Linked DNA regions of Oryctolagus cuniculus. The protein of the gene in region 1 purifies or fractionates together with the protein of each later gene. This does not show direct contact. Links are inferred from orthologs where the notes say so. Each region holds a gene or a part of one and is shown in the gene's direction. Other genes may lie near its edges.

What was found.
Region 2: the proteins of GDI2 (region 1) and RAB5A purify together in Homo sapiens (affinity purification with mass spectrometry; 3 studies listed by BioGRID and IntAct, counting the BioPlex papers as one, with this or other methods). This does not show direct contact. The link is inferred for Oryctolagus cuniculus from reciprocal best matches to the Homo sapiens genes GDI2 and RAB5A.
Region 3: the proteins of GDI2 (region 1) and RAB1B purify together in Homo sapiens (affinity purification with mass spectrometry; 3 studies listed by BioGRID and IntAct, counting the BioPlex papers as one, with this or other methods). This does not show direct contact. The link is inferred for Oryctolagus cuniculus from reciprocal best matches to the Homo sapiens genes GDI2 and RAB1B.
Region 4: the proteins of GDI2 (region 1) and RAB4A purify together in Homo sapiens (co-immunoprecipitation; 3 studies listed by BioGRID and IntAct, with this or other methods). This does not show direct contact. The link is inferred for Oryctolagus cuniculus from reciprocal best matches to the Homo sapiens genes GDI2 and RAB4A.
Region 5: the proteins of GDI2 (region 1) and RAB24 purify together in Homo sapiens (affinity purification with mass spectrometry; 3 studies listed by BioGRID and IntAct, with this or other methods). This does not show direct contact. The link is inferred for Oryctolagus cuniculus from reciprocal best matches to the Homo sapiens genes GDI2 and RAB24.
Region 6: the proteins of GDI2 (region 1) and RAB8B purify together in Homo sapiens (affinity purification with mass spectrometry; 3 studies listed by BioGRID and IntAct, with this or other methods). This does not show direct contact. The link is inferred for Oryctolagus cuniculus from reciprocal best matches to the Homo sapiens genes GDI2 and RAB8B.

The regions. Positions count from the first base shown.
Region 1 is NC_091444.1:79,671,788-79,675,911, reverse strand, and holds part of GDI2 (rab GDP dissociation inhibitor beta), read left to right. Parts: intron 1-2,879; coding exon 2,880-3,051; intron 3,052-4,124. UniProt on the Homo sapiens protein: GDP-dissociation inhibitor preventing the GDP to GTP exchange of most Rab proteins. By keeping these small GTPases in their inactive GDP-bound form regulates intracellular membrane trafficking.
Region 2 is NC_091435.1:155,566,259-155,571,066, forward strand, and holds the start of RAB5A (ras-related protein Rab-5A), read left to right. Parts: upstream 1-1,709; 5' UTR 1,710-1,724; intron 1,725-1,771; exon of another isoform or gene 1,772-1,906; 5' UTR 1,907-2,218; intron 2,219-4,808. UniProt on the Homo sapiens protein: The small GTPases Rab are key regulators of intracellular membrane trafficking, from the formation of transport vesicles to their fusion with membranes.
Region 3 is NC_091432.1:5,574,319-5,579,173, reverse strand, and holds the start of RAB1B (ras-related protein Rab-1B), read left to right. Parts: upstream 1-1,658; 5' UTR 1,659-1,794; coding exon 1,795-1,808; intron 1,809-3,305; coding exon 3,306-3,378; intron 3,379-3,611; coding exon 3,612-3,707; intron 3,708-3,785; coding exon 3,786-3,881; intron 3,882-4,855. Other genes in the region: KLC2 (kinesin light chain 2), read left to right, coding at 152-209, 339-422. UniProt on the Homo sapiens protein: The small GTPases Rab are key regulators of intracellular membrane trafficking, from the formation of transport vesicles to their fusion with membranes.
Region 4 is NC_091444.1:90,047,064-90,051,761, forward strand, and holds the start of RAB4A (ras-related protein Rab-4A), read left to right. Parts: upstream 1-1,490; 5' UTR 1,491-1,760; coding exon 1,761-1,791; intron 1,792-4,698. UniProt on the Homo sapiens protein: The small GTPases Rab are key regulators of intracellular membrane trafficking, from the formation of transport vesicles to their fusion with membranes.
Region 5 is NC_091437.1:63,301,544-63,305,991, reverse strand, and holds RAB24 (ras-related protein Rab-24), read left to right. Parts: upstream 1-1,359; 5' UTR 1,360-1,732; coding exon 1,733-1,849; intron 1,850-1,930; coding exon 1,931-1,999; intron 2,000-2,181; coding exon 2,182-2,260; intron 2,261-2,364; coding exon 2,365-2,432; intron 2,433-2,521; coding exon 2,522-2,621; coding exon of another isoform or gene 2,622-2,647; intron 2,648-2,804; coding exon 2,805-2,855; intron 2,856-2,959; coding exon 2,960-3,022; intron 3,023-3,129; coding exon 3,130-3,194; 3' UTR 3,195-3,484; downstream 3,485-4,448. Other genes in the region: PRELID1 (PRELI domain-containing protein 1, mitochondrial), read right to left, coding at 218-443, 996-1,087.
Region 6 is NC_091443.1:86,224,365-86,229,259, forward strand, and holds the start of RAB8B (ras-related protein Rab-8B), read left to right. Parts: upstream 1-1,915; 5' UTR 1,916-2,020; coding exon 2,021-2,144; intron 2,145-4,895. UniProt on the Homo sapiens protein: The small GTPases Rab are key regulators of intracellular membrane trafficking, from the formation of transport vesicles to their fusion with membranes.

The DNA.
Region 1 (4,124 bases):
GGTGAATTGCATTAGTGTACTGTATATAAACACTGAAAATATATAAAGTATACATAAAATTTACCATCTTAAACACTTAAGTGGGGACTGACACTGTAGTATAGTAGTCTAAGCCTCCACCTGCAGCACCGGATCCTATATGGGCGCTGGTTTATGTCCCCCTGCTCTTCTTATCCAGCTTCTGTTATGGCCTGGGAAAACAGAAGATGGCCCAAGTGCTTGGGGCCCTGCACCCTCATGGGAGACCCAGAAGCAGCTCCTGGTGCCTTGCTCCAGCTGTTGCAGTCACTTCGGGAGTGAACCAGCAGATGGAAGACCTTTCTATCTGTCTTTCCCTCTCTAACTCTACCTCTCAAATAAATAAAATATAAAAAAAAATTTTTTTTAAGTGAGTCACTGATTTTAAATATATTCATAGATGTTTTTGTATAATTATCACCGCAACCCAAATCTATAACTTTTTTTTTTAATTATTTATTTGAAAGATAGAATTAAAGATCTTTTCATTCACTGGTTCACTCACTACTCAAATGGCTGCAACAGTTGAGGCTGGGCCAGGCTGAAGCCAGGGGCCAAAAGCTTATTCCAGGTCTCCCTTGTGGGTGCTGGGACCATTCTTTGCTGCTTGCCCAGGCACGTTAGCAGGGAGCTGGATTGGAAGTTGAAGAGCCAGAATTCCATCCTGCACCCGTATAGCATGCAGGCACTTCAGACCGCAGTTTAACTTGATGATCCACAGTGCTCCCCTACAACTCTTTTCACCTTGTAGAACTGAAACTCTACGTATTAAACAGTAAATATTCATGATAAATTCCATGATTATGACTGCTAAGTATTAACAGATAAGTGGAATCATATACTATTTGGTTTTGAATGGTTTATTTCACTTACTGTAATGCATTTAAGGTTTTACCTGTGTTGTAGCATGTGTCCTGTTTAAGGCTAAAATAATATAAGGAGAATTCATAAACTTCATGGGAATAAGAAAAAGCTATGAATGGATTTTGAAATTTTTGGGCCAAACCAAATTCAGCTGTTAATCCCTTTTCCCATAAACACTTTGAAGTACATTTGTATTCCATTGTGTGGATATATACTATTTTTTCTTATTTATCTATCATTAGAACATCTGGGTTGCTTCCATATTTTAGCTTTTGTAATGCTGCTGTGAATGGGTGTGTAAATAAATCTCAAGCTCCTGCTTTCAGTTATGGGTTTATATGCAGGAGTTGAATTGTTGGATCATATGGTAAGTCTTTTTTAGTATTTTGACAAACATTACTGTTTTCCATAGAAGTATACCATTTTTACATTCCTGTCAACAGTGCATAATTTCTTCACATTCTTGCCAACATTTTTTTTTTTTTTTTTGGACAGTGAGAGAGAGAGAGAGAGAGAGAGAAAGGTCTTCCTTTTGCCGTTGTTTCACCCTCCAATGGCCGCTGCGGCCGGCGCACCGCGCTGATCCAAAGCCAGGAGCCAGGTGCTTCTCCTGGTCTCCCATGGGGTGCAGGGCCCAAGCACTTGGGCCATCCTCCACTGCACTCCCTGGCCACGGCAGAGAGCTGGCCCGGAAGAGGGGCAACCGGGACAGAATCCGGCGCCCCAGCCGGGACTAGAACCCAGTGTGCCCGCGCCACAAGGCGGAGGATTAGCCTAGTGAGCCGTGGCGCCGGCCCTTGCCAACATTTTTGATAGTAGCTATCCTGATGAGTATGAGATGTGGTGTATCATTGTAGTTTTGATTTGCATTTCCCTAATGATTAGTGATGGTTAGCATCTTACATATGCTTATGAGCCTAATGTCTTTGGGAAAAGATACATTCAAATCCTTTCCACATTTTTTGAATAAGGTTGGTTTTTTTGTTGTTGGGATGTAGTAGTTCTTGGTATAATATGGATATTAATCCATTATCAGGCATATCATTTGCAAATTTTCTCCCATTTTATGGGTTGCCTCTTTATAGTGTTTCTTGATACACAAAAATTAAAATATTTGTGGGATCAAATAACCCATTTCATTTTGTTGTGTCCAAGAAATTTCCAAATCCAAGGTCTTGAAACCTTTGCCTTATGTTTTCTTCTAACAGTTTTATGATGTTAGGTCTCTTGATCTATTTTGATTTTTGTATATGGTGTTAGACAAGAGTTGACCTCATCCTTTTACATGTGGATACAATTTCCATATAGTAGCATTTGTTGAAATAGTTATCTTTTCTGTAGACTGGTCTGGGTACCTTTGTCAAATTATTTGTGGATAAGCAGGTTTATTTGGGGCTTTCTTTTTTGTTACATTAGTCCATATGCTTTTATGTTAATTCCACACTGGACTACTGTAGCTTTTTAGTGAATTTTCAAGACTTGTTCAATATTGTTTAGGTTATTCTTAAATTCAATTCCTTGAGAATCAATATACATTTCAGGACAGGTTTTTGACATGTTAACAGTATTAACTCTTCCAATCAGTTGTTTCCATCAATTTGTCTTCTTTATAAAGTTTTTTTTTTTTTTTAAAGATGTATTTATTTACTTGAGACAGGGTTACAGAGGGACAGAGAGAGACAGGTCTTCCATCCGCTGTGGTTCACTCCCCAAATGGCCTCAATGGCCAGAGCTGGACCTACTGAAGCCAGGAACCGCTGTGGTTCACTCTCCAAATGGCCTCAATGGCCAGAGCTGGACCTACTGAAGCCAGGAACCAGGAGATTCTTCTGGATCTCCCATGTGGGTGCAGGGGTCCAAACACTTGGGCCATCTTGTGCTGCTTTTCCAGGCCATCAGCAGGAAGCTGGATCAGAAGTGGAGCAACTGAGACTTAAACTGGTACCCAGATGGGATGCCAGCACCACAGATCCAGCCCCTTCAATGTTTTCTTACAGATTGCTCGCTGTAAGCAGCTCATCTGTGACCCCAGCTATGTAAAAGATCGGGTGGAGAAAGTGGGCCAGGTGATAAGAGTTATCTGCATTCTTAGTCATCCCATCAAGAATACCAACGATGCCAACTCCTGCCAGATCATTATTCCACAAAACCAAGTCAATCGAAAGTCAGGTGAGTATTGAAGACCAGCAGATGTTTATAAGATTTTGTTAGATGTAATTTACATTGGATTTCATCTGAAATTCCTAATTTTGTATGCTGTATTATAGTGAATAGACTTAAGTGTACATGTGGGGGACATGTGATACTTTCAGCTTCTAGTGATCCTGCAGCTTACGTTGTTGACTAGGAGCCTTATCTTTTTTTTTTTAAAGATTTATTTTATTTATTTGAAAGACAGAGTTACAGAGAGAGGCAGAGGTAGAAAGAGAGAGAGGTCTTCCATCCATTGGTTCACTCCCCAGATGGCCGCAATGGCCAGAGCTGTGCCAATCCGAAGCCAGGAGCCAGGAGCCAGGAGCCAGGAGCTTCCTCCAGGTCTCCTATGTGGGTGCAGAAGTCAAAGCCCAAGAACTTGGGCCATCTTCCACTGCTTTCCCAGGCCATAGCAGAGAGCTGGATCAGAAGAAGAGCAGCCAGGACTAGAACCGGCGCCCGTATGGGAAGCCAGCGCCTCAGACCGGGGCTTTAACCCGCTGCGCCACAGCGCTGGCCCCAGTGCCTTATCTAACACTTGTTGCATCTCTCTGGACCTTCGTTTCCTTCCTTTTGGAATTAATGGACTAGACAAGGTAAACACAAAAGTCCCCATTCACAGTAGGTAATTGTTGAACTGATTACACTGTTTTTGAGCTGATGACACAGCTGCTTTTATACAAACACTTATTTGATTTTAAAAATGTGCTAGAAAAATTTTATTTCTCTGATTCATATCAGGAATTGAGTTTCAGCCCTAAATCTTGCCTGTATTATAACTATTATTATTATTTTGCATTTAAGGTTTATATTAAAACAGGCAGTTCCCTGGATTTGTGAAGATCTTAAAAAAATATATAGGGAGTCTGGTACTAATTTTTTAAGATTTACTTATTTGAAAGGCAGGGTGACAGAGAAAAACGGGGAGAGAGACTGATTTTCTGCCTGCTGGTTCACTCCCCAAAGTGATCACAATGGCCAATGCTGGGCCAGCTGAAGCTTTAGGAGCCTGAACTCCATTCAGGTCTCCTATGTGTGTTATGGGGGCC
Region 2 (4,808 bases), on another chromosome or scaffold:
TGGGGAAGAAAAGAAGAGCTGAAAATGATTCTGTAGTTCCAAGTCTGGGTGACAGAGGTTCTTAATGGCACTGAATAAACAATGCAAACAGGCTTGCAGTGGAATAGGTTTGGCTTGGGACATGCTATTGACATGACAAGACTAACATGACATATCCTATTTCCTGATTCTTTCTGGGATCGTCCTAGAGCTATGACCATGACTTATGCAACATCAGAACAGGCCTTTCAGGATGCAGTGCCACAGATACCATTCACAGATGCCATATTATGCTCTTCTAGTAACTGGGGAGGTGCTGAAAGACGAGCTAGTTAGTCAAGGGTTCAAATCATCTTCATTGCACAATGTTGACCGAGCACTCACAGGATACCTTAGCCCAGGTACACTCCAAAGACAATATTCATGCCTTCACAGCAGGACTGTAAGTTGTAAATTATAAACTGCAAAGCATCCCTTATTCTGGGGAAAAAGCAACGATCAAGGGGAGAGGGGTTGGTTTTAGACGCTTTCCAGAAACTAACTATGATCTGGGATTTTACCAAAGCATGCTTAAGAGGATCTGCTGCAGAGGGCAACAACCAGCTCAGGTTGTGGTCTTTCACCGGAACTTTGTATAAGAACTGACATTCTGGGGCCAGCATTGTATTGTACGCAGCACAGAGGGTCAAGGCACAGGCAGCAGGTTAAGCTGCCACTTGCAATGCTGAGTCTCCTTTTGAACAGCTAGTCTGAACCCAGGCTGCTCTGCTTCCAATCCTTATTTACTAATGCAGGGGATGATGGCCCAAGTACTTAGCCCCTGATACTCTCTTGCGAGACCAGGAAGGAGCTGAAGCCTCTTGGCAGCATAGGCCAGGCCCTGCCATTGCAGCCATTTGGGAAGTGAGTCAGTGGATGGAAGAAATATTGTTACTCTGCCTTTTGAATAAATACATCTTTAAAAAGAATTCCCAGTCTTGTACAAGTTACACAATCTCTGTGCTTCGAGCGCGTTACCTGTAAAGCAGGCACGCCTCATTCATTAATCCCAAAGCCATGCCTGAAGATTCTTAGCTGCCTGGCCACGTGCTAGCCAGGTTCACAGAGGTGAGGACCAGTTTGGGAAGTTAGTGTTAATGTGCCCACACGACGATTCACAAGCTGGTTTCACAAAGACTTGTACCTACTGTAAAACGTTTAGTACTGTAACTCCCAAAGGGAAATCTGAACAACAGGTTTGCTTAACATGTACCCTACCAAAAACAGGTAAGCGCTTCTTACGTGCCAACTGTTTTAATGCTTTGCCACTAAAGACGGCTTTAGGATGCAGAGGGTCCTAGCTTCCTGCCGGCGGTACAAACGACTTACCTTCCTTTACAGACACACCTGGCCTCAGGGACACAGTAGGCGTGTCTCCTGTTACAACCTCCCTCAAAAAAACCCCTTAGGCCAAGTCACCAGGATTGGGGTGGTGCGGGGCGGGATGGAGGGGACTGTGAGCTCACACTTACAACAAAGGGCTGGGCGCAACAAACTCAAGCGCCTTAGGTCTTCCCCCAAAGCAGGGCAGCACGGGATACCCCACCCAGCCCCAGTCACAGGAGCCCAGAGGCCTCCGCCCTGCTGACAAAAGAGCTGCGAGGGCGCGGTCGCGCGCAACCGGCGTGGCGCAGACACAACAAGGCAGTAAAACCCGCCCCAGCGCAGAGCCACGTGACAGCCCGCCGCGCCCCGCCCCCTCCCCGGTAGGGCTGGGTGCGCCTCGAGAGGGGCGGGGAAGCGGATGGGGCGGGACGGACTGGCGCCGACCGGAAGTGACGAAGCGGCGTCTCTCGCTGCGCGCAGCGACGTGGCGGCGGGGCCGGCGCCCGGCTGCGGAAGTGGCTCCCGCGTTGGGACTTGAGTGTTTGTGTTTTGGTTCTTGAAGGAGCCGGCGGCCGGCCTGAGGGGAGGAGGCGGAGGAGGGAGGAGGAGGAGGAGGAAGAATTCGTCGGAACTTGAGCGCCGGCGGCGGAGGAGGAGAAAGGAAAGAGAAAGGCGGAGCGCGGAGAGGCGGAGACGGAGCCCGGCAGGGGCGGCACCACGGCTCCAGCCCCGCACGGTCCGGTGTGAGGCGAGCGACGCGAGGAGACGCCGCCGTCGCCGCCACAGCCTCCGCTTCGCTGCCGTCCTTCGGGCCACGCTTGCTCCCTGCCGCCAGCAAGCTGCGGTGCCGCGGCCCCGCGTGCCGCAGCCGCAGGTAACCAGACCAGCCTTCCCCTGTGCAGAGCGGGTCTGGAGCTGGGCTGAGCCGCGGTCTCCATCCTGCCCGCGGCTGTGCGGGCGGCGGGGCCCCCAGCACGTCCTCCCCGACTTGCGCCCGTCTCCGGGACCACAGAGCTACCGCACCCGGGCCTGTCGGCCTGCCAGCCCTGGTGACTCATGCCGCCAGGGGTTCTGGTGGAGACCGCGATTTGGGGACTGGGTGAGGGAGCCGACGGGTGTCACCCTCTTCCCTTCTCAAGATGGCGCCGCGGAAAGAGTACCGGAGGCCGTGGTTCCGCCCGGCCTCTCCAGACAGCCCGGGGGTCCCAGGGAGAGCCGTGCAGGTTTAAGGGAGGAGGGTGGCGGGACGGCCCAGAGCCCTGGCGGGTACTGTTTGTTCGGGCGATCCGGAGTCGGCTCTCAGCTGCTCAGGTGTTGCAAGCAGGGACCGGGGCCTAGGGCAGGTGTGGATCTGGGGAGCTCCGCCTACCTTCGAAAGATGGGTAATGGAAGGGCTGGGAGGCTCAGCCAGACAACCGCTCTGGAGACTGGCAGGTGGCGAGCCGCAGCTTTAAGGAAATTAAAGGTAACTGGGCCGCCGTACAGCTCCCTTGGTGGGTAAACCAGGAGACCTGCCCTGATGCTGTCTTCCCTGGGAACTGGTCAGCCCCTCGAGACTTTCAGACTTTTTAAGCTCCTAGCATCCTAGTTTACGTATTTGATTTTTTTTGGCCTGGCTTAAGTGGAATCAAACTGTTACACTACTCCGGGAATATTCTGGACTCCTCAGAAACTTTGTTCTTTTCACTGTCGAATGCAGATAGTTTGAACACTTAGGGTTGTTGTAAGCAAAGTACTTGGTAACCATGCCAGGCACAGAATGAGTACCCAGTGATTTTTTGATCAAAGAGGACCTAAAAAGAGCAAAAGAGCACTACAGAACACTAGTTATTTCCAAGTTTAAAAATGCATACAATGCAAAGTCCTTGTTTGGCAAAACTGGGAGAATTCTCAGTAAGTGTGAATACGAGTAAATGCACGCAGTTTTTACCTTGTTAATATTACGCTGTTTTTGATTTATTTCCTGTTAGAGATCCTTGTAGCATAAGGATTCAGTGGCTTCAAAACTTAGAAGGCAAACGTAAATCACAATTTTGCTTGACTTTTTTATGGGTGTCTGGTGTTTTCCCTAAATTTTCAGAAGTACTGTAGAAATTCAGAACATGGTATCCTTGATAAATGATCAGCAGTTTTGTAGATAAGAGGCTGTTGGGAAGTGTTTCAACTATGTTTATTCCTGAAAGCGAATTGGTGCGTTTTCTGCCTATACGACATTCTATTGGTGTTTGACATGTAACCAAAGGGCCACTTTAGTTGTCCATTCAAACCCTGCTGTATGATAGGTACTGTATTAGAGATTATATATATTGTATCACGTGATTAACTGGCAACTATGCAAATTATGTAGTTTGAAAATTAAAAAATTGGCCCAGACAGAAATTGGTACTACCAGGATTAAACTCCCAAGTTTACTGTGTTTGGGACAGTATGGGGAAGTAGTTTTATTTGTACCTTATGGTGTGTGTTCGTTTGTTTTTAAGATTTATTTATTTGAAAGAGTTACACAGAGAGAGGAGAGGAGAGATCGAGAGAGGTCTTCCATCCGCTCGTCCACTCCCCAGATGGCTGCAACAGCCTAAGCTGCGCTGACTCAAAGCCAGGAGCCGGGAGCTTCTTCCTGGTCTCCCATGAGGGTTCAGGGGCCCAAGGACTTGGGCCATCTTCTGCTGGTTTCCCAGTTCATAGCAGAGAGCAGAATCAGAAGTGGAGCAGCCTGGACTCGAACCAGCACCTGTATGAGATGCCAGCACTGCAGGCGGCAGCTTTATCCTCTATGTCACAGTGCCAGCCCCTGTACCTTATGTTTGGAAGCAGCTTAAACATCATTTCATCTGTAAATATATCAGCATGTACTGTTAAAGACGCTTCAAAGCTGGAGTTTTAGATAAAGCCAAGAAGTGAACTTAATTGTCTAGAATTAAGATATCAATATATTAGTGAATTGTCAATAATATGTCTCATAAAAACTAAAATTTTATAGGGAAGGCGAATTTCTTATATGAGGTAACTCAGTGAAGTATAGCTACATTTTTAGAGAGGAAATCATATTTAGTATATTAGTAAGCATATAATCATATTTTTATTAAAGATGTGAATAGGTTGAAAAGTGCTCTTCAAATATTTGCTAATTCCTTTGAAATTGAAAATTAGCACATTTGGGAGCCTTGGTTGTGGTTGTGATGTAGCAGGTAAGCTGCCACCTTCAGTGCCAGCATCCCATATGGGTGCCTGTTCAATTCCTGGTTGCTGCACTTCCCATCCAGCTCCCTGCTGGGAAAGCTGGGAGGATGGCTCAAGTGCTTGGGCCCCTGTACCCACGTGGGAGACCTGGAAGAAGCTTTTCTGGCTCCTGGCTTCAGTTGTGGCCATTTGGGGGAGTGAACCAGCAGATGGAAGACCTGTCTCTGTCTCTCCCTCTCTCTAACTGAGCCTTTCAAATAAATCTTAAAAAAAGAAAGAAAAAA
Region 3 (4,855 bases), on another chromosome or scaffold:
GAGCCCCTAACCGAGCGAGCCCCTCAGGACCACCCTGCTAAGCCCCTTGAGCCCCTGCCACCCGCCCAGGCCCCACCCCCGGCGCCAGGGCGGCTCCCCTCCCCCACCCTGCCCCAGCTCCCCCGCAGACCAGGGCGCCCTCTTCCCTCAGGATGAAGCGGGCCAGCTCCCTCAACTTCCTCAACAAGAGCGTGGAGGAGCCAGCCCAGGTAGGGGCGGGTGGCCGTCTGTGCCCCGGGCGCGTCCCTGCCCGCCTGCTCGGGCCTGTGCGACGGTGGGTGCCAGCGTGCACGCAGCCCTGACCCGCAGGAGCTCACCAGGGCCCCCTCTGTCCGCAGCCTGGCGGCGCGGGGCTCTCTGACAGCCGCACCCTCAGCTCCAGTTCCATGGACCTCTCCCGACGGAGCTCCCTCGTGGGCTAAGCCTGAAGGGGCAGCCAGTTGCCAGAGCCGCCCCCCGGCACAGCCCCAGCGCTCGCATGGGCCCGCTGCTCGTCCCGCCTGCCCAGCCCCAGGACCCCTGTCTTTTCTGTTCAATCTCAGGGTAACCTCCCCGCGTCGTCCCAGCCTGAGCCCTGGAGGCCGGCCTGGCTGCCCAGCGCTGCCCCGTATTTATTCTCTCCAGCAGAGCCCCTTGCCAGGCCCGTGGGAGGGGCTGGCTGCTCGCCTCGCCCAGATCCGGAGCCCGGAACACTAAGCCCCGCCCTCCCCCGGCCGTTGCTTCTGTATATAGAGAAATAAGTTATTGGCCGCGCCCCTGCCCTCCGTCCCGGTACTCCCGGCCCTTCTCTAGTGGTACCGCCCAGGCCTTAATCACCCCCATCGCGCGCGGAGTATCTCCCGCGAGCGGCGCCGCCCCGCAGGGCTCCCTGACCTGCTCCCGCCCCTCCCGGCCTCCAGGGGACGCCACCAGCTCGCCATCGCCCGGTGTCCCGGGACGGAGAGCCCGGAGCCCTCCTCGCCCGCCGGCCCCGCGCCGCGCCCGGCCTTATGCACTGCCCCGCCGGGGCGCCGCCTCCGCGCCTGCAGCTTCCCGCCGGGGCCGGAGGGCTCCCCAGCTGGGGTGGGGTGAGGCGGTCGCGCCATTTTCAGATGTAACTGGAGAAATAAAGACGTTTGAATCTGTGCTGGGCTTGTTTTGAGACGGAGGCCGCGGGTGCCCCAGGCTGGGATGGGTGGGAGAGGCTGCGCGTGTCTCCCACGGGGGCCAGGCCCTCTGCCCCAGCCCAGTTGTGGGGGGCGCTGCTCGGCTCGGGGTTTCTTCGAGAGCCTTCGCTCCTTCGCCCCAGACGGCCCGGTCTTTAACGAGATCGGCCGTCCTCGGGTTTGACCTTGAGCGAGTTTCCCGAGCCCCGGTTTTTTTTTTCCACCTATAAAACTAGTGTGAGGACATCCTCCTGGGCCCGTGGCTGTGCGTGAGGAGCTCTGACTAGTGCATGACCGGCGCCACCTTCCCACGCAGAGCTCCCAACCTGGGAGCCGAAGAGGGAGAAGGCGGGTGCGCCAGCCCGAGCCGTCCTCGGCCCGCGGCTACCAGGAAGCGGACTACAAGCTCCAGAAGGCAGTGCGCGGCAGGACAGGCGTGGGCTCGCAGCGACGCCTGCGCCGTGGGGGGTGGCGAGTCGGGCACCGTGGGGGACTACAAGTTCCAGTAAGCAGCGCGGCGAGGCCCCTGTCGGGACCGTGTGCGCCTGCGCGTCGCGGGCGGGGCCTCAGGGGCGGAGCGGCCACCATCTTGGAACGGGAGGCGGAGCAGAGCCGACTGGGAGCGACCGAGCGGGCCGCCGCCGCCGCCATGAACCCCGAATAGTGAGTGAGCCCCGCCCGCGCCGTCTGGCGCAGCCTCGGTCCCGAGTACGGGGCTGTACGCGTTCCGGAGTTGTCTGGCCCGGGTCAGGACTGTGCGGCGCCCCCACATCCGGGTCCCTCTACCACTGACACCCCCCCCCCACACATACACACATCCGGGTCCCGCCCCTCCCCCCGGGGGCCCAGGACCCCGTCTTGACACCCCCGAGTCCTCGAAGCGGGGGCCCGAAGCGGCAGCCCCAAGGGCAGCGCTGGGAGCCGCGCGGCCGGCGCGCAGGCCTCCGCGGTCAGGTGACCCGGCAGCCCCGGCGTCCCCAGGCCTCAGTTTCCCCGGCTGTGCGGAGCCTGTCACGCCGGTTTCTGGGTTCAGACTCGGCTCTTTTGGGTCGGGCTCTTGGCGAAGAAGAGCAGCGCCTGGGGTGTGGAGCTTGGCGGAGAGGGGGCTCAGAGCCCTGGAGGCAAGCGAGAAGCGAAGTCGATTAAGCCCCGCAAAAGTGCGCTCGGGCGGGATCCGAGCGGCCCAGCCCCTGGGCGCGGGGCGGTGGTCCTCCGTCGTCTGTCTGAACCGAGAGGTGCGGCTCCCGGAGGATGGGCAGGGGGCTGCCCGGGAAGGCGGGGCGCGGGCTGTCCCGGCGGAGTCGGGATTCCGGCGTGGTGGAGGAATTCCTGGAAAGCGTGGGGAGCCCGTGTGAGCCCCCTGCGGCCGTGAGGATTTCGAAGGTGGCTCGGAAGGCCGGCTTCCACGTTGTCTCTGCGGCCCCTGGAGTGCAGGTGTGCCAGCCCTGGGGCCCTGCCCGCGCCCGCCTCCCCGGTCTGGGGCCGAGGCTGGCCAGGCGCAGGGCCCGGGGCGGCGCTTGGTCCCGTCTCCCGCGCCTCGCGCTCGCGGGGTCTCCCGCGCCTCGTCCCGCCTTTGCCACCCTGCTTTCGCTGTCCCGCTGCTGCCGGGCCCGGGCGCCGTGGCGCGGCCTTTGCCTCGCGGCGCCGGCTCTGGGCCTCGCTGCCGGCTCGGCTCTGCACTCGGACTTCCCCGCGGTGCGCTCTGCTTCCTCTCTGCCGCTTCCCTCTTCTGCCCCAGCTGGAGGCTGCAGGTTTCCCCGGGCAGCGCCCCCCGGGCCGCGGTGCGGGGTGGGTGAGACCCCGCCTTGGGGCCCCCTCGCAGCTCAGTCTCCTCCCTGGCCTGGGGTCTCTTCGTGGCGACTTCAGCTGTGCGCGCAGCTTTGTCACTGAGCAGGTTCCGGGCTGAGCTCAGCTTTCCCTCTGGGGCCTGCCCTGCCAAGCCACTGGACGGGCCGGGAAGGTCTGGAGTCCTGGGAAAAGTCCCAGCGGCGGCACCGGGCTCTGGTTCACAGCATCCCGCCCTTCAGCGCCCGGCGCCCTGTCGCGTCCAGGGCAGCGCTCCCCCAGCCAGGCCTGGCGGGAGATCTGGGGGGCCGCGGCCGCGAGCCCAGGGTGGCAGCAGTGCGCTGCCTGCCCTCACACTCTCTCTTCTCTTCCCAGTGACTACCTGTTTAAGCTGCTTTTGATCGGCGACTCGGGCGTGGGCAAGTCGTGCCTACTCCTGCGGTTTGCTGTGAGTAGAAGCTCCCGTCCCCCAGCCTGGGGTCCCAGCTGGCAGCGGGGGGAAGGGCCCCCCAGAGCACAGTGGCTGCGAGACCTGGGGACCCAGGGTGAAGTCGTGGGACCCACCAGTCACACATCAGACTAAATGGCACAGGGCCCAAACGTTGGGGTGCTGAGAACTGGGGCTCCCCTGTGCCCCACTGGGGCCCCGTGGCTGAGGCGCTGCGCTGGCCCCGGCCCTAGGATGACACGTACACGGAGAGCTACATCAGCACCATCGGGGTGGACTTCAAGATCCGCACCATCGAGCTGGACGGCAAGACCATCAAACTCCAGATCGTGAGTGTCGCCCGAGGGCCCCGGGGAGGGGGCTGCGGCCTGGGCCGCGGGCCGACTGTGCTGCTCGCTTGTCTGCAGTGGGACACAGCCGGCCAGGAGCGGTTCCGGACCATCACCTCCAGCTACTACCGGGGGGCCCACGGCATCATCGTGGTGTATGACGTCACCGACCAGGTACTCCGGGGCTCCCTGTCGCCAGCTGTGCCTCCCTGCCTTAGTCCGAGATTCGCACGTCATCCTGGCCTCTGCCCTGACAGGGGACTGACTGTGTGCAGGCTCACGTGCAGGGAGGCCAGCCTTCCAGAACCCTGATGCAGGGGCTCGGTGGGACCAGGCCGCAGCTTCCCCTCCGCGCCAGACTCGCCCCTCGGGGTTTTAGTCAGCTGGGTGGCCGCGGTGCTGGACCTGTGGCTTCCTGTGTGAGACAGGGGCGGCACTTGGAGGGCCCTTGACCAGGAGGCCCGGGAGCCCGGTGTGAGCAAGAGCCCAGGCTGTGCGTCTGCTCTCACGCCGCTGGCAGCAGCCGGAGACGGTCTGTCCCCTTGCGACACTCATGCGAGGGCTGTGTCCCAGGAGGCCGTGGGCTCAGGACGGCGGGGGCCCTGGGCGAGTCCTCCAGCTTGTGGAGGGCAGGGGCAGGAAGCGCAGTCTTTCCCTCCCCCCCCGCCCCAAACCTGCCGCTGCGTGGGGTCCAGCCCCAGGCGGAAGGGGTCCCTGCTCCCAAGGGCAGCTGCTCTTTTTTTAAGACTTATTTATTTATTTATTTGAAAGACAAAGTTGGCAGAGAGAGAGAGGTTTTCCATCCGCTGGTTCACTCCCCAGATGGCCGCAATGGTAGGAGCTGTGCTGATCCGAAGCCAGGAGCCAGGAGCTTCTTCTGGGTCTCCCTTGTGGGTGCAGGGGCCCAAGGACTTGGGTCATCTTCCAGTGCTTTCCTGGGTCATAGCAGAGAGCTGGATCAGAAGTAGAGCAGCCGGGTCTCGAACCAGCGGCCATTTGGGATGCCGGCACTGCAGGCGGCGGCTTTACCCTTACGCCACCACGCCAGCGCTGGGCTCTGGCAGCAGCCGCTTCTGAGCTTGCCACCTGCCTGGTTCTGGACAGCAGGCTGGGTGAGCCGTGTGCCACTCCTGCCCTCTGACTCCACC
Region 4 (4,698 bases), about 10 Mb from region 1:
TGCGGGAAGCGAGGCCACCGCGCAGGGACCGGAGAGGCGGGAGGGGAGCGCTTCGTCCGCCCGCCCCGCCGGCTTGCGCACCGTTACCTGTTGCCCTCGTCTCTGTCGTTAACTCTGCTTCTCCGACGCAGGAGAAGGAGGCGAATCCTGTACGCGTCCCCCCTCGCTGGCAGCCCTGTGGAGCTCCCCGAGTTCCTCCTCCACGATGCTGCCACGGAACTGGGGTCGAACCTCCAGCCCGTTCCCGCGCCCGTCGGAGGACGTCTGGAGCACCTGGCGCCTCATGGCTGAGTAGGAAAGAAATCGCTTCATTTCTGAAGCGGACGGCGGCTTTCCGCCACCTCCGGAGCCCAAAATCCGAGAAAACGAGCCGTCTGGCCACCACGTCCCCGCAAGGCAGGTCCGCGGTCTCCAACTCCTCAGCTCCGGATGACGGTCGCCGAGCAACCGCCGCCATGCGCCAGTGGGCGGGGCCGCCGCGCACGCGCAGAACCTCCCACCTCCCCCGCCCAGCTGCAACCAGACTTGGGTGGGTCTTTGCTAAGGAAAAACATCAATCATTTGAAAAGCAGTGTTTATACTCAGCTGGAGATAGAGTGGCTTGAAACTGCAGAATTCTGAAGGCCTACAACGCCTCTGAAAATGTCTAAAAAAAAAATGTTTCAGCTCCTTATCTTTCAGTTTATTTCCCTTCCACATCACCTTTGTTCCACTTGTTATATATTAATGTTAGCCGTCGCAAAGCACACCGGACACCGGAGTAAGGGAAAGGGTTTACTGGAGAACACCCTACAGACCGGAGTGAAGGGGCTGCGAAGGAAAAAGAGAGAAAGAGAATATAAGAGAGAAACAGAGAGGAGAGGAGCTAGCAAGGAGAGAAGATAGAGCAGAGCCAAGAGAGAAGAACCAAGAGCCAAGAGACCAGAGGAGGAGGCTAGAGAGAGGAACCGAGAGAGAGCAAGAGAGAAGGGCCAAGAGAGCAGGGAGCAGAGCCCAAGAGAGCACGTGTTCAGGAACAGGCCCTTTTAAAACTTTGCCTGAGGGCGGGCAGGGAAGCAGGAGCAGCGAATCCCATTAGGATGGGGGTGGAGCCTGGCTCAGGTAGCTGGGCCATGTGGCCACCTGGCTAAAACTGTGCCAGTTTCCTAACACTATCAAAGTAGGCAGGTTCCATACGAAGCGGTAGCTTCTGACTCCAGATTCCTGCTAATGTGCCCCCCCCCGGGGGGGGGTAGTGGAGATGGCTCCAGTTACTGAGTTCCTGCCACCCACATGGAGACCCGAATTGGGATCCTGGCTCCCCTCTTGGCCTCAGCTCAGCCACCGCCCTTGTGGACATCGGGGGAGTGAACCAGTGGATGGAAGCTGTGCGTATTGGCGCGCGCCCTGTGCGCCCGCGCGCGCCTGTGCGCCTCGCCCGGCCTCCCCATGCGCACGCGCGGCCGCGGGAGGGGGGGCCTGGCTCCTCCTTCTCCTCCTCCTCCTGCTCCTCCTCCTCCAGCTCCAGGCCCGGGCCGGAGGAGGGCCGAGGGCCGAGGGCCGTGCGCCTGCGCGGAGCCGGAGTCCTATAGGGCCGCGGCGGTGCGGGTGGGCGGTTGCCTTGGGGACCGGTCCGGCCCCTCCCTCCTCGGGTTCCCCACCCACCCCGCTCCACGCCCCTCGCCGTCTGGACGCGCGGCACACAGACCTCCCGGCCCTCCCTTCCCGCCGCTCACCCCAGCTGCAGCCGTGACCCGGCCAGAGGCCGTGCCGCTCCCAAGATGTCGCAGACGGCCATGTCCGAAACCTACGGTAGGAGGCCCGGGGGACGAGCGGGCTCGGGTCTCTGCGGCGTGGGGACCCGAACCTGCGCTCGGGGAGAGGTCTCGGGGGGCGTCGGGGGCTCGGGCCCGGGATCTGCGGGGAGCGCGAGCGTTGGGGCCGCGGGCGGGGGGCTCGGGGGTCTCTGGGTGGGAACGCGAGGCTGTGAACGGCCTGTTTACGTGATCTGCTTTTCCAAGTTTCCTCCGCGCTGGTACCCTGAGTGTTTTTCCTCTCTGGGTAGCTTGAGATTCGCCTGCGGCTGTGACGTTAGCCCCTGCGAAGGGGGCGACTTCTGGATTTCAGCGAGCTCCTCGGGATGTTCCAGTTTTGACCTTTTCGGATTTGGATTTACTGTCTTTGCCGTGGGATTAAAGGAGGAGTTAGCAATAGATTAATCTATCTCTTCCTCCCAGATAACTCTTGCTTTATTTATAGCCTCTCTAGGTTGCATTTGGCTAGTTACAAGGGGGCTCGTCTATTCTTTTAAGATCGTAAACGCCTTGGAATCGGCGCCTTGTTAAAAAAAAAAAAATTTTTTTTTCTGTCCTGCATAGTCAGGATCAACAACTTGTACCTTTTATTAGTGTTGAGTAAATGTTTATCAACCCGGACTCTTTCAAATGTGTACAGTCTCAGATTAAGACTTTGATTTGGAGTTTTACAGCCCCAGGGAGAGGCTCAAATTCAAAAGAAAATGTATCCCTCAAGCCAGATCCGCCTGTCACCATCTGTCCTGGCCTGCCGCTCCTTCCCGGCAACAGATAACGTGTGCAGGGCATTAGGGGAGCAGGCGTCAGGCTTGGAAGGCTGTGAGCTCCTGGAGACACAGCAGAGGCGGCTCTGGCCGGGTGGAGTTTGCCTTCTTGGCGGGGAGTCCCGTGTGAATCCGGTTGGGGTGCTGCTGAGTGAGTCCAGGCCAGGCAGGAGCCCTGAAGAAATGTGCCTGTTTGTTAGGATGAGAGCTGGCCCGCACTGGGCAGTCAGACGGTCACCTGGCAGGTGCCCAGACCTGTGGAAAAGGCATTTCAAGCAGGGCGAGGAGAGAGGGCCTGGTGGGAGGTTTCCAGCTCCCTCCTAAGACAGGTGGTAAGCTTGCAAAGGTTTCTGCTCCAAGGTCGAGGTGCAGTGGGGCCGCTTTAGCGATTCTTGTGACTGGCACTGCCCTGTTCTTGGTGACACTGTAGCATGGCCGCTGTTCTTAGAAGGCCTCGGAAATCTTCCAGGAAACCTGCTGGGTTTGTCAAGACCAGCGTTGCCAGAGCTGCCGGGTCTCCTGTGAGGGGTGGCCATGCGCTGCTCTTCTTCCCATGGAGAACTGCAGTCAGAAATGGCTTTAAAACATTATCTCTCTGCTTATTTGAAAAGGCAGAATTACAGAGGGAGAGGGAGAAATCCTCCATCCGCTGGTTCAGCTCCCCAAATGGCCACAACACCCAGTGCCGGGCCATGCTGAAGCCAGGAGCCAGGAGTTTCATCTGGGTCTCCCATGTGGGTGCAGGGGCCCAAGCACTTGAGCCACCTCCCGCTTTTTTCTAGATACATTAGCAGAGAGCTGGAAGTGGAGCAGCCGGGTCTCGAACCGCCACCCAAATGGGATGCTTGTGCAGGCAGCAAGGCAGCCCCCCAAAAGTATCCTACGGAAAATGTGTTCCAAGCAATTTGTGGTTGTATCTTTGCAGTTGTTTATATGCAAGTGCTTATTTGTCCACCCCTCCCCCATTTTTTTTTTCTTTGACCTGGGTAAGCAGCACTAGATAAGGCTGAAAAGTCTTAATGAGGGAACCATGGGGAGGTTGTGAATTACTAAGAAAGCATGGGAAGACCTTGCTTTCATTTTCCTTGTGTGAAGTGGTAACAGCTGATAGAATACAGCCCACCTTTGCTTGCCCTGCCTCACTCTGCACAGGGATCTTGGAAGTTGCAAGCCTCACCCAGGAACTGGTTAAAATCCTGATGCTCAGGCTTCGGCCATTAATGTTCTTATTTCATGCACTTTCAAAAAAACAAGCTTTCACTATTTACTAATTGTGAATTTAGTATTTTCTAAATGAGACATAAAGAGCCAGTGCCGTGAATGCACTGTTAGTGTGCGGGAGCCACCTGCTCATGAGCACGTTAGAGCAGTGTTCCACTTCCCATAGACCTGAGTCGGGTCCAGCCCTGTGTTGTTGGGAAGCCACTAACCACAGGAGTACAATGCTGTAGTGTATGTCATACTGTAATGCACAGTTGAAATGCTAAACAGATGTCAGCGTGGACCCTTCAGTCTGAGTGTCACTAACCTGGAACAAGGTACTCCCACATGTGTTTAGATTCAAGCGATCCAAAAGTGCTGGCCCGTTAGTGTTGCCCGGGACTCCCCCATGGAACCCCTCTGAGACCCAGGAGGCCACAGTTTGGCGGTGCGTGATTCCTGGTGCCAAGAACTGATGCTAGTGCTGAACTGTAAATGTGGAGGGGAAATGCCAGGCTTCTTTTTTAAAAATTTAAATGCTAAGGCAGTTTAAGGAGAAATCCGAGACAAATCTCTATAGAAACACAGCTCAAGTTGCTGGGCCCATGCCAACTTAATTACATTGTCTTCCTTTTTTTTTTTTTTTTTTTTAAGATTTATTCATTTATTTGAAAGAGTTACACAGAGAGAGGAGAGGCAGAGAGAGAGAGAGAGGTCTTCCATCCGATGGTTCACTCCCCAATTGGCCGCAATGGCCAGAACTGCGCCGATCCGAAGCCAGGAGCCAGGAGCTTCTTCCAGGTCTCCCACGTGGGTGCAGGGACCCAAGCACTTGGGCCATCCTCCACTGCTTTCCCAGTCCATAGCAGAGACCTGGATCGGAAGTGGAGCAGCTGGGACAGGAACCGGTGCCCATATGGGATGCCAGCACTGTAAGCGGT
Region 5 (4,448 bases), on another chromosome or scaffold:
GCCCACCCTCAGCATCACTCCTGCAGGCCCCACCCAAAGGCGCGTCACGCAGTTTCCTGAAACAGGTGCCTCTCCCCCAGGGCACGGCTGAGTCAGGGCAGGGGCAGGGCAGGCTCCGGGCCACCCGGTCCTCAGGAATCTGCCTCGGTTCCCTAGCCACCTGCTCCTGAGCAGTGTGCTTCGGGGGGTGGGGGTAGGGGCCCCGGGGAGGTCTCACCATCAGCCGGGCGTGGTTGATGTTCCAGGTGAAGGTGGTCATGGTCTTATTCTGTGGGTCCACTATAGAGTCCTCCAGGATGTACACCGAGTGAGCAACATTGGCAGGAAATAGTCGCTCTGCCCAGCGGGGCATCCTGTTAGTCTTGGTCAGGAGTCGACGGGACAGGAGCTTCCGGTCAGGGGTCACCTCCCGGTGGACTATGTCTTCAGTCAAGACATGTTTGCTGCAGGTGTCAGAGTGCAGGTGACCATCGGGAACCTGCCCCCAGGGAAGCTCCCCGTTGGGGTTCCCACTTGGGGCAGCCCTGCCCAGCGCGCCACCCCTGCAATCTCGCCCAGTGATCTGGGCTGTGGCTCAGACTATCCCAGGGCAAATTCCAACTGCTGCCCTACCTCACTGACCTGGATTCCTGGCTTCCCGGCAGGGCGGGGCCTCGTGACTTCCTGCACGGGCAGACCCATGGGCAAGTGCCTGACTTGCAGCCCCAAGATCCCTCCCAGGGCCCGTGCGGCCGTCTCTTCCCGTCCCAACGTCCACAGAGAGGGCCTTGGCAAACCAGTGCCCAGGCCCAGCCACCTCCCAGGGCCTTCCGAGTCCGGCCCGGCCACTTCCTAGATAAGGCCTGCTGCCCTTAAGGCGGTCACGATTCCGGAAAGCCCTATGTCGGCCTCGATCCGCGGTTCCCCTTAGCCCCATTACTTGGGGGGATCGCCCGCACTTCGATCTCGACAGGGCGGAGATGGTGCCGGGGGTTGCTCTTCCCAGAGTCACGTACCTATAGGGATTCGGGTATCGCTGCCAAAAGGCAGCGAATACTTGGTCCCAGGAACTTCGGAGCACGCTCTGGCCCAGGAAATACTTCACCATCGTTAGTCCGGCCGGGGCGGACTCAGCGTCCGCACAGCATCAGGCGTGCGGAGCCCGGGGGCACGCGGAGGCCGGGCCGGGGCTCGGCGCACGCCCGCCAGGCTCGCAGCTCAGGTCAGTCACCTCCGCGCCGCGCCCAAGCCGCTGCCCGCCGCCGCCATGAGGAGCTGGCCAGCCGCGCGCCACTTCCGGCGCGGCGGCACAGTCCACCACTTCCGGCGCCGTCCACGTGACCTCTCGGCTCCGCCCCCTCGGCCTAGCGCCCCTCCCTCCGGAGTCGCGGCGCTCGCTGCGGGTCAGAGCAGGGTTCAGGGGGGACTCCGGGTTCAGTTGGGAAGCCTACCCCGAGCGGGAGTCCCAGCCGGGCCGGCGGGCGGGCGACCCGGAGGGCGAGCGCGGGACGGCGGCGTGCGGCGCGGCCAAGGTTCGCTGGCCCGCGCGCTCGCAGGCCGGCCGGGGTCTTGGGCTCTCCGAAGATACCCGGCGCTCGGGGCAGGCAGAAGAGCGGAGGCAGACGGGGAGGACGGGGGCCGAGCTCTGGCCTGACGCGGGGCCTCGAGCGCCGGGCTAGCGCGTGGGGTTAGGGGCCGAGCGGAGGTCGGGTGTGCCTCAGGACCCCGCCGTGGGTGAGGCGGCCCCAGGAGCATGAGCGGGCCCCGCGTGGACCTCAAGGTGGTGATGCTGGGCAAGGAGTACGTGGGCAAGACGAGCCTGGTGGAGCGCTACGTGCACGACCGCTTCTTGGTGGGGCCCTATCAGAACGTGAGTGCGCCAGCTCGGGGCGGCCGCGCGGGGAGGGGCCGGCACGCTCCCGCCGACCTGACCGCCTGCCCCTCGTTGCAGACCATCGGGGCTGCCTTCGTGGCCAAGGTGATGTCTGTAGGAGATCGGACGGTGACTCTAGGGATTTGGGTAAGTTTCCTGGGCACCCCGTTCGCGAGGTCTGCAGAGGGGGGCTCTGACCTGGGCCCCCGAGGCCACTGCCCAGCCCCAGGCCCTGGTTTCCCCTTCTGGAGGCTGGGGCTTGCTTTGCAGTCATGGGGGATTCTAGCCTGGTAACCCAGGCCGGGGCTCAGTCCTCCCCTGATTTTCAGGACACAGCAGGCTCTGAACGCTATGAGGCCATGAGCAGGATCTACTATCGGGGCGCCAAGGCTGCCATCGTCTGCTATGGTAAGAGGGGTTCTGGCCTATTCCTCAAGCAAGGTGTGGGTGCCTGGCGGGCCTCAGAACAACCCCTGACCCTCGCTCGCCTTTCCTGCATGCCCCACGCCAAGACCTTACGGACAGCAACAGCTTTGAGCGAGCCAAGTTCTGGGTGAAGGAGCTGCGTAGCCTGGAGGAGGTGGGTGGCCACACCTGGCTGGATGGGGGCCTGGGGGTGGGAGCTCAGTGGGTCCGTGGAGCCCACCCTGACCTTGGCTTCTGCTCCAGGGCTGTCAGATCTACCTGTGTGGCACCAAGAGCGACCTGCTGGAGGAGGACCGGCGGCGGCGGCGTGTGGACTTCCACGATGTCCAGGACTATGCAGACAGTAGCTGCTGCTCAGCCCCTGAGGGGGTGGGATGCGGGCGGGGAGTGGCTGCTTGGGTGGGCTACAGGCAAGGTACCTGCTTGGCTTCCTTGCATCTTTGGGGTCTGGGAGACTCTGAACTGCTAGGCTCCCTCTTTGTCTACTGGATTCTCAGGTGTGAGGCTTCGTCACTTCTCTTTACAGATATCAAAGCTCAGCTCTTTGAAACGTCTAGCAAGACAGGCCAGAGTGTGGGTGAGTGCTGGTCCTGGGGCCTCGCAGCAGGAACGGGCAGGGGCACCCCAGGCAGTAGAGTAGACGAGCCCTCTGGGCCCTCACCGGCCCTCTCTTCCTGTCAGACGAGCTCTTCCAGAAAGTGGCCGAGGATTACGTCAGCGTGGCTGCCTTCCAAGTGATGACAGGTGTGTGCTCCCCCGGACCGCCTCTCAGCCGGGGCGTCGAGCCCCGCCGAGCCCCGCCTGACCCCGTCCACGGAGCTAGGTGCTAAGCTGCCACCTCTCTTTCACAGAGGACAAGGGCGTGGATCTGGGCCAGAAGGCAAACCCCTACTTCTACAGCTGTTGTCATCACTGACTCGCCACTCACCTGGCCTGGGGAATAGTGGAATTCCCCAGGGGGCTGGACCCAGCTTTTGTCTGGGCTCAGGTGGTCCAACGTCTGAGCTACCCCAGGTCCCCATGGCAGCAGAGGTGGCACCGGCCTGTGCTGGCCCATGGAACGGAGGCAGTGTGGGCTGGCTGTGGGCATGAGGAGGGCTAAGGACCGATCTGGACCCCAGGCTTCTGCCCTGGACAACACTTGTATCTGCAGATTACTTAAGTGGCTTCTGATCTGTAAATAAAGTCAGTGCACTGTGACTCACACTCAGCCCCTTTCCCTGCTGTGTGGACCCGGTGTCAAGACACCTAGCTCTGAGAGCACCGGCCTGGCCTCACTTCTATACTAAGGCTCCTCCTATCTCTTACTTTCCTTTGGAAACCAAGGAACCTCAGCCCCGGGTTGCAGAGGAGCCCTTGGAGAAACAAGAGGTTCTTTGCTGTTCTTCAGTGAGAGGCTGGGGTCGGGGCACTACAAAGCTCACCATTCCTACTAGGTGCAGAGGAAGGCAAGGAGAGCACTCAGCCTGTGCAGCAGGGGCAAGCCCTGCTTAGATAATAAGGGGGCCTGGTAGGCCTGACCGCGTCTGTCGTGCCTGGGCCTGTGAGTCAGGCCTGTTGTTCAGATCCTGAGCTTCCCAGACATTCCACAGTGTGGCTTAATGGAAGGAAAGTCATTCAGTTCTGCAAGACAGAAAGGTCTCATGGATCCAGATTTGGATCCCAGCTAGCTACTTAGAAAGGCAGCCACACACTCAGCCTGAGTTACTCCTCTGTAAGATGAGGGGGCTGCTCCCCAGCTCAGGACCGTGAGCATCCTAGGGGAAAATGAACTCTGGTACCAAATGCTCTTCCCATACTCCTCCTCTGACAGCTTCTTGCTGGAAAGGCAGGAAGCAGACTCCCGAGGTTCTCCCAAAGGTATCAGGCCTTAAAGGTCCAAGTGTCTCTGAAGGCTCATGGGTTAGGGTACCCAGGGCCAACGCTCCCTGTTCAACAAGAAGCCTTTTCGGGTATGGGAGGTGTTGCCCTGCACCAGGAGCCTCACTTTCCAACTCACTGCTTTGCTGCCTTTATGCTCAGACTGAGCCTTGTACAGTACTCAACACCTGCCTCTTAAGAATGTAAAACTTGACCAACAAGCTCTGACTCATTTGAAAAGTGCTTTGGTTCTACTTCCTTTTTAAAAAACCAATTCCTCAAAATACACTTCCTTCACGAGTGATGGAGA
Region 6 (4,895 bases), on another chromosome or scaffold:
CACGCACTCAAGATGCATCTTAGAAGCTGCTGTCTTCTTCAGCTAACCATTCTGTGTCTTCCTCTTATTCCACTGAGTCCACTGGCTCCCTTAATACTGCTAGCCTTCCAGAAGGTGTTTCCCTGCAGGACTGGGGAACCTTTCTCCTGCCCAGGGCCATTTGGATATTTATAACCTCATTCACAGGCCATATAAAATCACCAACTTAAAAATCAGCCCGCTATTATAGATTTGTTGCATTTTGAGTCTCGCTTGCTGTTGCCTTGGCAGAGCCAGACCACGTGATTTCATTTCTCATGCGCCTTACAGGTGGGGGCTGGAAATTCCCCACCCCTGAAGGGTAGGTGTCTGGGCCAGTGTTTCTCAAATATTTATCATTGTTGATCTCAAGACCCCTTTATTCTCTTAAATATCTTTGTGGATTCCAAGGAGCTACTGTCATGTGGGTTTTACCTGTTGAATTTGCCGTTTTAGACATTTTAAACAAAATATTTATTTTTTATTTATTTGAAAGACAGAGTTACAGAGAGGGGTAGAGAAAGAGGTCTTCCATCAGCAGGTTCACTCCCCAAATGGCCACAATGGCCGGAGCTGGACCTATCCAAAGCCAGGAGCCAGCAGCTTCTTCCAGGTCTCCCACGTGGGTGCAGGGGCCCAAGGACCTGGGCCATCTTCCACTGCTTTCCCAGGCGCATCAGCGGGGAGCTGGATTAGAAGTGGAGCAGCCAGGACTCAAACCTGTGCGCATATGGGATGCAGGTGCTGCAGGCCCCAGCTTTAACCCCCTACCAACAGCGCCCACACCCCTTTTAGAAATTAAAACTAAGGTGGGAGGAGAGTGAGGAAGCCCCTCCAGGATGCAGCTCCCAGGCCGGGCCTCCCTAGCTTCTCTCTTCCACATTACCTGCACCAGTAAACTCCCCTTTCCAGGAGGGGTTTCTACCACGAGCGAATTAAAGAGGACTCAGTAGTGGATTCATAAAACGGAGGAATGAGTCAGACGATGTGCAATAAAGAGTTGAGTCGCATATAACAGTATTCCCTCGTCATTTGTCACCAATGAGTGATGGGGGATGAACGGAACAAAGTGCTTTCACTTTTTTTCAGGATCTCATTTAATGTTCTCTGCACACCTCCAAAGTAGCATGTTTTCAATACACCTTGCCGCCGTGCAGCCCGCGTGCCTTGTCACAGCAGCTAGGAGACGGAGCCCAGACGGAAACAAAGTCTTATCCTCTAAATTCTCAGGACACGAGGCCCGAAATTTTGCAGGGCGCAGATGTGTGGCACGAGCCTTCTCGGATTTGCAGGGCGCAGGGAGCGGCCTGCGTGGCCCATGCTCTCCGGGAGGAGTAGACTTTGGCTCTGGCCTGAGACGTGGAGAAAGGGGCCAGAGGAAGGTTCCGGTGAGCACGGGGGTCTCTCCCGCCCAGCTCCGGGGCCGAGGGGCTGCGGAGGGGGCGCAAGGGCATTGCTGCGGATGCGAGCCGGGGGAGCAGACGAATAACACACCCGGCCCAGAATCGCAGGCTGCGTCCTGGCAGCCCCGAGGAAAACGAGCATCTCCACTCAGGGTCCCGGCGGAAGAGATGTGGGAACTGCGAGACAGATTCCGCACACAAAGAAACAACGGAGTTCCATTCCGGCGGCGCGACGAGAGCAGAGTTCGAAACGGAGCCTCCCTTCCCAGCTCCAGCGGCACCGCCTACTCCACCCGGTCACCCCACCCAGACATCTTTTATCTGCTGGGGTCGCTTGGACTGTCCGCGCTGGGCACGCCCGAGCGCCCCGCCAGAGAGACTACAAATCCCATGAAGCCCCTGGGGCGCGGGCGGTGATGACGAAGCGTTCGCGGATTGGCTACGCGGGGCGGGGAGCGCAGGCCTTCTCCGAGGGGCGGGGCGGGGCACGGGGCGGGGCGAGTGGCGGCGCGGCGGGCACGCCCCCTCTCCCGCGGCCCCCTCCTCGCTTCTCCCCGCCGCCTCCTCGAGCTCCCCGGTCAGAGGGCCGGAGCGAGAAGATGGCGAAGACGTACGATTATCTGTTCAAGCTGCTGCTCATCGGCGACTCGGGGGTGGGCAAGACCTGCCTCCTGTTCCGCTTCTCCGAGGACGCCTTCAACACCACCTTCATCTCCACCATCGGTGAGGGAGGGGCTGCGGCCCGGGACGGGGGTGAGACCTGGAGGGTGGGTACGAAGGGGCCGGAGGGACGACCGAGGGGCTTGGGAGCCCCCGGAGCGGAGACCGCGGGGCGGCGGGAGCCGTGCGAGAGGGCGACAGCGTGAGGGAGAGGGGCGCGCGGGGGACGTGCGCCCTGGGCGTGAAGGGGGAACTTGGGGGCCAGGGCAGGGGAAGGCGAACCCGAGGAGCCAGGACTGGGAGGACTGGGGCGACGGGGGCGCGCGGGGGCTGACAGGGAGGGTCCCAGCGGGACAGAGTGAGGAGGGGACACGGGGATCCCGCGGAGAGCGAGAAGGGGCTCGTGGATGTGCGAATGGATTAGAGGGCAGGAAAGAGAAAGGAAATGTGAAGGGGAAATGGAAGGGTTGGGGGAACGAGAGGGGCGGGCAGAGGACACAAGGGACGGAGGTGAGGACCCGGCGGGGAGAAGGGGGCTGAGGGGAATGAATGATCCGGAGGGGAGGGCGCGCGCGGGGGGGTGGCTGCAGAGGTGCGGGCAGAGATTGGGGGGCGGGGGGAGGCCGAGGAGAACTGCAGGCAGGAGAAGAGTTGCGGGGAGGAAGGGGGGATGAGGCTACCTGGTTGGAAAAGTAAAGGCGGGCGGGGTGCGGGTGGAAAGGGAACGCAGCAGCGGGCAGGCGAGGCGGACAAGGTGGGCAGTGAGAGGGGTGCGGGACTTCGCGGTCTTACTGGGTGCTCCGGCTTACCGTCGTCTCTGCTGCTTTGGGTCCAGTGCAGGAGAAAGCAGAAAGTGACTACTGATGGAATGCTATCTGTGGAGCATTGAGTTGTTCCCAGTGTGCACGGGCGTTAAGGGGATTGCTGACTTCGGGGAGTGATGTGGTCAGGAAAATAGGGCTCGCCCCTTCTTGTCTCCTGAGAAGCAACGCGGCTGGATTTTTTTTTTTTTTAATTGGGAACTTGAATGCTTAACAACTTCTGAACCAAGGAATTGATCTTGCTTTCTGTTGCCACTCTGTATATTTTGTTTCGGTTCTAATGATGACTTGTTAAATCAATCACAACCTGCAATATACCGGTACCCCAATTACTTCCAACTGATGCAACACTAATTTTTTCCTCCCTTTTTACTGGAAGAAATGGGTTCGGGTAAAAAGATCTCTAACTTATCAGAAACTGAAAAGCGGAGCGAAGTTGGTTTTACCCGGCTGTACAAGCGTCCTTAACCTCACTTCTGTAGTTAAATGGCTACAGTAGATTAAGTACTTTAAGAATCGGTTTTGGGCCGTCTGGGAGATGTTTCTGGCCTCTAGAAGTAGCTAATTTAGACATCTCTTAAATGGTTCTTAAAATATTTCTCTGCATGAGTTTCTGGATTGGGAAATAATGGAAAGCTTGTACTTTGGTAATAAGTGTGTTTATGTACTTGTGTTTGTGAGGATAATTGCCTTAAAAAAAAAAAAAAAAGTACCTGAGTATGGAGCCCTCTTCAGTTCAAGACCGAGAGAACCTACGGTTTGCTGCTTGACTCCGGCCTCTTTCGTACGGATTGAACAGCCTGAAACCTCCTTGGTGTTGTGATGTCTGGGCGTGGGGAAGTTTGAGTTTGCAAGTTCTTGGCAGTCAGTCTTGAGTGGGACTTTTTCTTTTCTGAGGAAGCAGATTCTAAATGTCATCTCTCAAGTGTTTTCCTAAGAGATCTGGTGGGAGCTGATACAGCAACTGACGGCGTTAACGTTGGACACGGGCACTCCTTCCAAAACCCCCACGAAACTCCATCCCACTGATGAGCGCACTCTGCAGTGCAGACCGTGAGCTTTATCACGCGAGTGGGTGGCCTTCCGCGCTTCCTGTGTGTGACCCTCCCAGAGGCGTCCTCCCGCCTGGAGAGTGAGCAGATCTCTCGGATGCTGTCCCTGCCGAGCTCCTGGGATAAGTTTTGGTTGCTTCGAGTAGTTTGGTCAGTTTTCTCTTTTTTTCCCCTTCATTTTTGTCCCACATTTCCTGTAAGGGTATCTTCTTCATTTCAAAAGAGTAGCTTTAAGAAATTACTTTTCATGAGATTTTTTTTTTTTTTTTTTTGTGATGGAAACGAGGTTCTTTGGAAGATTGAGGCTGTTCAAGCCTGAAACCCAGTGTCCTCTGACAGTTTAGAAGAGGAGGTAGGCGTTCATTGGGGTGCATCTCCTGGGAGCTGTGGGTCTTTGTATTTTCTGCGTGGTGGAGATGGTAAGAAGAGGCCATGGGCCACGTCTTCGTTTGATGTGGAGGAGGGGAAAAGCCCATGCCTCTTATTTAGTCCCAGAGCCCCAACAGGAAGTGGTGGCACGCTGCTGTCTTCAAATAGCAGAATTTATGCTCCTAAACCGTAACGCTTTGTAGTTGAACTGAAGTTGGTCAGGTGAGTGGTGAGACCATTTCAGCAAAGTGTCCGCTTGACTGCAAACACAGACATGGACATAGTCCCATCTCTAGCAGCCATATCCATTTGCCCAAGTCTCACCCCATCCACAGGTGACTACACTGCAGAGGACACAGTGGGCGGGCCACTCCCTCCCCAGCTCCTGTGCTGTTCTCAGCAGGCTGGACAAGGCCCACCCTAGTGCAGCTGACCACACTTAATGAGCTCGTCCACGTCACAGGAAGCATCCCCTCGGTCATAGCAAAGGTCTGGTTCTTTACACCTAGGCTTGGAGTGTGCGTTGTGCTAGATAGAGGTGTGTGTCTGTGTCTTGCCATGAAGATACGTTT